Schizosaccharomyces pombe: one gene and its partner. Changing the gene in region 1 together with any one later gene gives a genetic interaction. Each region holds a gene or a part of one and is shown in the gene's direction. Other genes may lie near its edges.

What was found.
Region 2: mutations in mug89 (region 1) and shk2 together harm fitness less than expected from each alone (positive genetic interaction), as found in Schizosaccharomyces pombe (one large-scale study listed by BioGRID).

Annotation. Positions count from the first base shown.
Region 1 is NC_003423.3:303,415-308,613, reverse strand, and holds mug89 (phospholipid-translocating ATPase complex Lem3 family subunit), read left to right. Parts: upstream 1-1,916; 5' UTR 1,917-2,122; coding exon 2,123-3,313; 3' UTR 3,314-4,699; downstream 4,700-5,199. Other genes in the region: SPOM_SPBC1773.12 (transcription factor), read right to left, coding at 1-454; asparagine--tRNA (Asn) ligase Nrs1, read left to right, coding at 4,926-5,199.
Region 2 is NC_003424.3:271,295-275,440, forward strand, and holds shk2 (PAK-like kinase Shk2), read left to right. Parts: upstream 1-1,857; coding exon 1,858-3,627; downstream 3,628-4,146. Other genes in the region: fal1 (ATP-dependent RNA helicase), read right to left, coding at 1-822, 876-896, 963-1,029; plasma membrane stretch-activated calcium ion channel Yam8, read left to right, coding at 3,795-4,146. UniProt on the Schizosaccharomyces pombe protein: Forms an activated complex with GTP-bound Ras-like cdc42. Participates in Ras-dependent morphological control and mating response pathways.

The DNA of each region.
Region 1 (5,199 bases):
CCTTGGGATGAATTTGGAAAATCCCTGGATACCTTCTCATTTTTTCATCTATTAGAAAACCGCAGTTTTGAATTTGCTGTACAAGCGATGGTATCTCGTTCGACGTTTCTCTCTTTTCTGACAGATCGTAGTTGAGCAAATTTAGCATATCGTCAATCCGAGATTCCATATTAACAGATCTTTTGCTTAACGTTATAATATGATTTCTCAGTTCAATCATTTCGGTGTACTCTCGAGTAATACCAGCTGTTGACTTCTTTACAGGCGGCTGCCCGACGACGATATGTGGGTCATCCTTGTCTACGTTTGGCTTCTTTACTCTTTTTCTTTTATTATACTTGCACGTTTCTGAGTACACTACACAATTCTGGCATTTTGGCAATTCGCCGTTACACCGAAGTTTTCTTTGCCTGCACAAGTCGCAAGCTGTGCTAATTTTTTTTATTGGTACCATTGTTTGCACATTTAAAAACTTCCAACAACACAGTCTTTTAGGCGTTTTTTTGGAATATTAAATTTTTTTGAAACTACTCGTACAGGGCACCTTGCAATATATACAATTTTGGAATTTTGTGCCATTGATAGTAAACAATGATTATCGCCGATCGATTTTTTCGCTTAATTTCGAGTATATTTCAATGACGCGAGCGCCATGATAATAAATGAACATTCCTTAAATGGGACAGATAACAAAATAATCAATCCAATTTATGGGTGAGAGAATTGTTCCTTACTGCTTGGTATCAATTTCAACCTGCCGTTCTTCATGTGATCTTACAAAAATCCATTAGTAACATAGCTTCATCATTATAAATACCATGGTAAACAGCCAAAAAATGATAATAAACAAGTCTAATCAAAAAGAATAAATGTGAATATTAATATAATGAATAGGATCAAAAGATAATGTTAGGATTTGGAGCTGAAAGCAATGGGAAGCAAAACTTTTGAATGCTACCAAATTATTCCGAACAACTACTTAAATGAAAAAATCTTTAACAATTGCTTGATATCAAACAACTTTCATTTTAGCTCGGAAATTCATTTTTAAAGGCATGAAATAAATATTGGAAGGAGCCATAATCATTCACATTTTTTGTACGTTAATTAATAACACTATGTTTCAATGTCCAGGCTTACTTATGTTAATTTAAATAAATGTGTTGAATCCCAGTTAATTGCCTAATGAGATTTCGACTTTGAGGCATTATTTACTACCATCCGAGGTTTTCAATCAGGTAGTTAAAAAAACATAAAACAAACATCAAAAGAGGTATATGATAATTAGAGTTACATATACTGTATCATTAGATACGTTGTCTCGAAAAAATGAGCTTAGTGTGGCACCAATCTTTTTTTCTTTTCTTGCAATTTACTAGACTCCACGCAGGTGGTCATTTTCAAATACTGTTTGTTTCTTTAGCTGGGCAATTTTTACCGGTAAAGTGCGCACATTTTCCTATCCAGCTCGTAAATATATTTCAAGCATTTTACTTCTCCTCTTTTGTTAACCACAGAGAATAGATAATTAATACACTTTCTTTTCTTATCTCTACAGAATCAAGTCGATCAGGTATACATTTTTACGACGAATCACTTTGAATATTATTTGTAGCAGAAAAACCATCGTCTATAAAATTTTGAAACTTCCTTTAATTGAACATCATAATTTTATAGTCCCGAAATATAACTACTATACATTAACCAACAAATGTTCTTCCCTATTTTTAAAGAAGGTATTTATAATAGCTCTTCCTTTTAAAGATGACTGCTTCACTGGCTTTGTATAGAATTTTTTTTTAAATTTGAATAGCGAAATGTACCATATTCGCAATGTCAATTATAGCACTATTAGGAATACGGAGTAATTATTTAACGCAATTTTGTATATGTACGTTGCAGATTATGTGTTTACTAAATGCCAAACGTAGAAAAATCCGTGGCTTTCAAATATCCTCTTTTTTAATCCATTATAGGCTGTTTTATTGCCTTTTGACCTATTTTAAAACAAAAAATCAATAATTTTCATCTAGAAACCACCAAAATATTACTTTTAAATTGTTTTTAATCACTTTAACGGGCTCGCTTTTAAAAAGCGATCAATTCAAGACCTTTGAGAATTATGCCGGAAGCATTAAATGAAAATGTTTCAGACACTGCATCAAATGGGCCTGTAGCAAAAACTAGAGCACCTCCTAATACTTCCTTTCGCCAACAAAGGATCAAGTCTTGGCAGCCATTGTTAACCCCTAAAATCGTGCTTCCACTTTTTTTTGTGTTAGGAATTATATTTGGTCCATTAGGAGGAGGATTACTTTATGCTAGCTCTATCGTACAAGAGCTAGTTGTTGATTATACGGATTGTGAGACTCTGGCTTCTTACGATGAATTCTCTGCCGTCCCTTCCAAAAAGTACACAGCTTCATTTGATCAATCAGGAACTATTGGATTTGACAAAGAATCAACCTACTGGAAACTGGAGAAAATTCTCGATAAAGATCTAGATATGGACGTTAACTACTGCATCATAAGATTCACAGTCCCATCTGTTTTAAAGGCGCCTATTTTCATATATTACCGTTTGACAAATTTTTTTCAAAATCATCGACGGTATGCTAAAAGTGTAGATGAAAAACAACTACAGGGAGTGGCTTTAACTGCTGACGAAGTTAAAGGAGGCAATTGTTTTCCTTTGGAAGTTAACGAAGATGACAAACCATATTATCCATGTGGTTTGATTGCAAATTCTCTTTTCAATGACACTTTTTCGTCACTGAGACTGCTGGATGATAATAGTGTTTACACTTTTTCTACCAAAAATATAGCTTGGGCTTCAGATAAAAGACGATTTTTGAAGACAAACTACAGTCCTGATGATGTTGCACCTCCTCCCAATTGGGTTTTGCGTTATCCTGATGGTTATACTGAATCAAACATGCCAGATTTGTCAACTATGGAAAATTTACAGGTTTGGATGCGTACAGCTGGTCTGCCTACTTTCAGTAAGTTGGCTATGCGGAACGATAACGACGATATTTTTCCAGGAACATACGAAATAAAAATTGGGTTGTTTTTTCCTGTTAAGAGCTTTGACGGTACCAAATCTCTGGTTCTTACGACGAGATCGGTGCTTGGAGGAAAGAATCCATTCCTTGGAATAGCTTACATTGTTGTCAGTGCTGTTTGTGTTGTGTTAGGTACCGTTTTTACATTAAGGCATTTTATCCGTCCAAGAAAGCTTGCCGATCATCGTTATTTAAATTGGGATTCTGAAGAAAATAATTTAGCACCCCATTTGAGTGATCGTCCTTAGGTTTGTCGCGATTGCCGACTATTTACAACTCTGGGTTGTAATTGCAAAATTAGTTTCCTCATAGTAGAAGGAGTTTTCTCTGTCTTCTTTTTTTTTCTACGCCTTCCGTTGTCTTTAGATTTCTTTTATTTATCAAAGGGTAGAACTATGTTGTTTTAGGTTTGATGATTACGATTGCTAATTCTGACATTCATATTACATCTTTTTGCTATACTCAATTTCATTAAAATATGACTTTTGAGGTATTTTGATGGACCCCTAATTTTCTTCATTACTGGCTTTTCAAAGGTAGTATGTGTTTTATATTTTGCTACTCAAATTAGTTTATTGTAACACACTAAATTTATCATTCAAAAGATCTTTGGAATGCCTTTACATGTACCATTCGTTTACATTTCATTCTTTTACGCTTTTCTCTTTAGTCTCATGAAACTGAGATACGGATTTTTTTTATCAATTAATAATTCGCATTATTAGCAGAATTTGTTACTGAAGTGTGCTAGCAGGTCATAACTGCTATTCTTTAGGATAAAATTGTTATGCGTGCTTACTTTGGAAACTCTATACCTGTTAATGATACTTTGGTTTAACATACTGATGAAAATATTACGCTGTTTGTAACAATCATAAATTTTTGCATTTTTCTTTTATACTAAACCGCTATTTGCTTTCCTCTGCTGCTCCATTTCTTGTCGTTCAAACCGTTTAAAGCCGTTGTTGACTATGACATTTGTATAATTAAAATTAAAAGCGTTGTAAAAAGGAAATGCTGGTGCGTAAAAGAATGCACTTGTGTATTGAAGTGTTGTGATTTGAGGACAGTCTACAATAGGTATGGCGATAAAAGTAAAGTAAATATCACTACTACCTGAATTTTGCAAGCTTATTGATATACGTGAATTGAACATTTATACCATGCCATACTGTATCATGTCAACAGGTCTAATTGGAATACTACGAAAAAAAATCATCTCTCGATATACAAAAGTCAGCACATGCTTGGCTGTATAGCGAGAACAAAAACAGAAAAAGACGATTTTGGTTATTCCTACAGACTATGCTAGCAATTAACTTATGGAGAAGTGTGTTCTTTAACCTTGCCCTACATGTAAAATATCCACTTGTAATTTAAAAAGATATTTCACAAAGTAAATTTTTCTTTTGACAATATTACAACCTTAGCTAATTTACTTTTTTTCTACCCATTGGATTTACTAATTTAAGAACGTGAGAAGCCATAAGTCAATATGGAATGAAGCAATATCTTATTGACAAGAAGTTTTCGTAGTTAACTTATTTGAGGAGTCTATTGAATACACACTGGGTTGACAATTAATTGCTCTATGTCAAATCGACTGGGGAATTAGCAATAACCATACTAATGTGATACAATGAAATGTAAATTTACAATTAAATAAAAGTACTTAATATTTCAAATATTAGCAACTAGCCGAAATTTTGGAATCATTAGCCAAAAAAAAAATTAACGCGCTTTAGCAAATGTTCTGGGTTGTAGATTTGCAGATAAGACACTCTAACGAGACTATAAGTTATCCAAGGCCGGTTATTTGATATTTAACATTTTCACTAACTTCAAACTGTCCTTTTAAAAATGGCGGGATTGGAATCAAAAGTTTCTGATATGAAAATAAAATCAGACGTTGTTTTTTATATAGACGAAGCTTCCGGTAATGATGAAACTGGCAACGGAAGTCAAACATCACCATTTAAAACTGCAATCCATGCTTTGGAAACTGATGCCAACTGTACGATCTTTGTCAAAAAAAATGGCAGTGAAGAGTTTGAGCCTATAACCACCAACGCTTTAAAGAAGGCGAAAAAGGGAGTTGAACAAGCCGCTAAGAAAAAGGCTAAGGCAGCTGAAG
Region 2 (4,146 bases), on another chromosome or scaffold:
GCATGATAGCGTCTCTTTCTTTTTGCGGCATCTCACCGTGCATACTGGTAACGGTAAAGTTAGCTTCTCGCATTTTCTCCGTCAACCAATCAACCTTCCTACGAGAATTGCAAAATATCACAGCTTGTGTAATGGTTAAAGTATCATATAAATCACACAGAGTATCAAACTTCCATTCCTCTTTTTCAACTGCTATAAAGTACTGTTTTAAGCCTTCAAGAGTAAGTTCATCGCGCTTGACCAATATTCGAACAGGGTTAGTGGTAAACTTGTTAGTCATTTCTAACACGTCTTGAGGCAAGGTAGCACTCACAACTACCACCTGTGTACCAGGGGGTAAATATCTATAAATGTCATAAATTTGTTCCTTAAAGCCTTGATTTAAGAGCTCATCCGCTTCATCAAGAATAAGCATCTTAACATTGCGAGTTCGCAAATTTCGTCTACGAATCATGTCCGTTACGCGCCCAGGAGTGCCAGAAACAACGTGTTGTCCATAATCCAATTTTTTGATGTCATTTCCAACGGATGTGCCGCCTATACAAGCATGACATTGAACGTTCATATGGTCACCCAATGCAAGTACAACATTCTGGATTTGAACTGCCAATTCTCTCGTAGGAGAAAGTATTAAAGCTTGAGTATCTCGGACTGATAAATCGATCGACTGAAGAATACCAATAGAAAAAGTTGCTGTTTTCCCTGTACCAGATTGAGCTTGTGCGATAACGTCTCTCCCTTTACAGATTTGAATAATCGCCCGGCTTTGCACAGCACTCGGAGTCTCATAGCCATACGCATAGATTCCACGAAGTAAATCCTCTGCATGTTGTTAGAACAAAATTATGGAAATTTTTATCAATTCATTAACTAACCTTTAAGATTCATTTCCTCAACTGCAAAACAATGTTAGCATCATTCACAGTAAGTATTCATATTATAAAAAAATATAATTTACTTACAAGAGGATACAGCATTCACATCTTCCGATGTCGTAAGCTCCACGTTCTCCATTATTTCGTCCGCCATAATGGAAGTTGTAGTAGTTATGTTATGTCAGCCCAACTTGAGGAAAATGAAGGAGAGAAAATTTGACAAGCAAATAGAAAGCTTGGTTAGTTACAAAAATAAAAGAATATTCCTTTAAAAAATTTCAATTGTACGGAAAGCTTTATTAAATATTGACAAGAAGTTTAGATGAACTTATTATTCACATGTTGTTTATTTTCAGTACTCCCAACTTGTTAGATAATGGTATAAAAAGTAAACTAGCGGTTTCTTAGAATTAGACATTACACGAAAAAATTATGAGAGTCTTACATTAATTTTCTACAACTGGAGCAATGGTTGAACACCACCCTTAAGAGTCTAAACAACATTTCAATTCGTCCTAGAATTGTTATACTAATTTCCGTTTTAGCAATCTAAGTTCTCCTAGCACTAACATGCAAATTATCGGCTAGTCAAAACCCATTATCAATTAATGTTTCCTAACCAGAATTGCCCACCACTTCGCATAAATTCAGTTATACATTTCCATGCTAAAAATTACCTAAAATCACTCTCAGATATTATAAATGCTATACACAGTTTACATTTGTGAGCGTTGTCATGAATCTTGTAACCAATGTCATGTTCGCTTGCGATAAGATTGCAAATTGCAATTGTAAGACTTAATCTAATTAATTAAGAATTACTTTTCATCCACTACTGTTGACGTCAATTGACTTCTCTTTTCATAACATTTCTTTGTTTTTTGCATTCTCTTTGTTTATAAATGGGGTTTCTTTGTTTATACATTTGAGCTAAAATGTATAAAAGAAGCATGTATACCAAAACTATTGCATCGTTTTCAAAATGCTTTTAAGTGTAAGAGGCGTGCCGGTTGAAATTCCATCTCTCAAAGATACAAAGAAAAGCAAGGGAATCATTCGATCAGGATGGGTTATGCTGAAGGAAGATAAAATGAAGTATCTCCCTTGGACTAAAAAGTGGCTAGTACTTTCTAGCAATTCTCTGTCGATATATAAAGGAAGCAAGTCTGAAAGTGCTCAGGTTACGTTGCTGTTGAAGGATATTCAAAAAGTAGAGCGTTCAAAGTCTAGGACATTCTGCTTTAAATTGAGGTTCAAAAGTAGTACCAAAAATTTTGAGATTCAAGCTTGTGAATTGTCCGTGGCCGATAATATGGAATGTTATGAGTGGATGGATTTAATATCTTCTCGTGCGCTTGCTAGCAAAGTTTCAAGTCCGATGAATCCTAAACACCAAGTGCATGTGGGAATTGATAATGAAGGAAATTATGTCGGATTACCCAAGGAGTGGATATTGCTACTTCAGAGTAGTTCGATTACCAAACAAGAATGCATGGAGGAGCCGAAAGCAGTTATTCAAGCTTTGGATTTTTATAGTAAGCAGTTGGATACAACAAGCGAAACTAAAGATAGTTTTTCATTTTGCAAAGAGACACTGCCACGATCCTCTACTACATCGTATTCTATTCGCGATGCTGACAAACATCATAAACTCACGACATCTGGAGTTACTAAAATGAATATTACTGAAAGATGCAAGCCGAAGACAACCATACAGACGGATAAAAAGCATATCATAAGGCCTTTTATTGAAGACAAAAGTCATGTAGAATCTATCATGACCGGAAAAGTAACCAAAGTACCGGTCAAAGCAGATTCAAAGAACACGTTGAGTAGAAGAATGACTGATAGACAGGCTTTAGCCATGTTAAAAGACTCAGTTACTTCTCATGATCCTGTCGAATATTTTAATGTTAAGCATAAACTTGGCCAGGGTGCATCGGGATCTGTTTACTTAGCCAAAGTCGTCGGAGGAAAACAATTAGGTATTTTTGACTCAGTTGCAATAAAAAGTATTGATTTGCAGTGCCAAACAAGAAAGGAACTAATCTTAAACGAAATCACTGTCATGAGAGAATCGATTCATCCTAACATAGTGACATATTTAGATTCATTTCTTGTTCGAGAAAGGCATTTATGGGTTGTGATGGAGTACATGAACGCTGGATCTTTGACTGATATTATTGAAAAAAGTAAGCTTACAGAAGCACAAATTGCTCGTATTTGTCTAGAAACGTGCAAGGGAATTCAGCATCTGCACGCCAGAAATATTATTCACAGAGATATTAAAAGTGACAATGTTTTACTCGACAACTCTGGAAATATTAAAATTACTGACTTTGGATTTTGTGCTCGATTGTCTAACCGTACTAATAAACGAGTTACGATGGTTGGAACACCATATTGGATGGCCCCTGAAGTAGTAAAGCAAAACGAATATGGGACCAAAGTTGATATATGGAGTCTTGGAATTATGATTATAGAGATGATTGAAAACGAACCGCCTTATCTCAGAGAGGATCCAATTCGTGCATTGTATCTGATAGCAAAAAATGGAACTCCAACTCTTAAAAAACCTAATTTAGTTTCTAAAAACTTAAAATCTTTCTTAAATTCCTGTCTTACAATCGATACCATTTTTAGAGCTACTGCTGCTGAGTTGCTGACACATTCATTTCTTAACCAAGCATGTCCGACTGAAGATCTAAAATCTATCATTTTCTCTCGCAAAGCGAATACCCATATTAATTAGGTCCAAAATTTACTTTTATGATTATTTGAATATTTTTAACGATCCTTAATGATATACAACTTGCTAGTTTTTTAGAAATTTCAATTAACTTCTCAATTTGCATGTGCGAAACTTTTGAGCTTACTTTTGAATATTAAAGCCTTGAAAGTAATTACTAAAGGTTCTATATGTTTTTTTTTAGCACCCATTTAATTTTGAAGATACTCTTTTTCTGGTCGATAACTAGAAACATATTTGGCGCTACTTATACTAGCTTGCTGCTGAACAATACCATAAATGGTAATATAAATGATCAAAGCACTGCTTACTATAACTTAACATGGGAAGGAAACACAGCTTACAACGTTAGTCTAACTTTATCAACCTGCACTGCTTTTGATGGCGCGAACGATTTGATGTTATATATATCGAACAATACGTTTGACGAAGCTCTTCCTTTAGATAATTTTACGATTACTGCTTCTGAAAATGGTCTAGCAACGATATTTGTAACCGGCTACTCACCTTTATATATTGCTG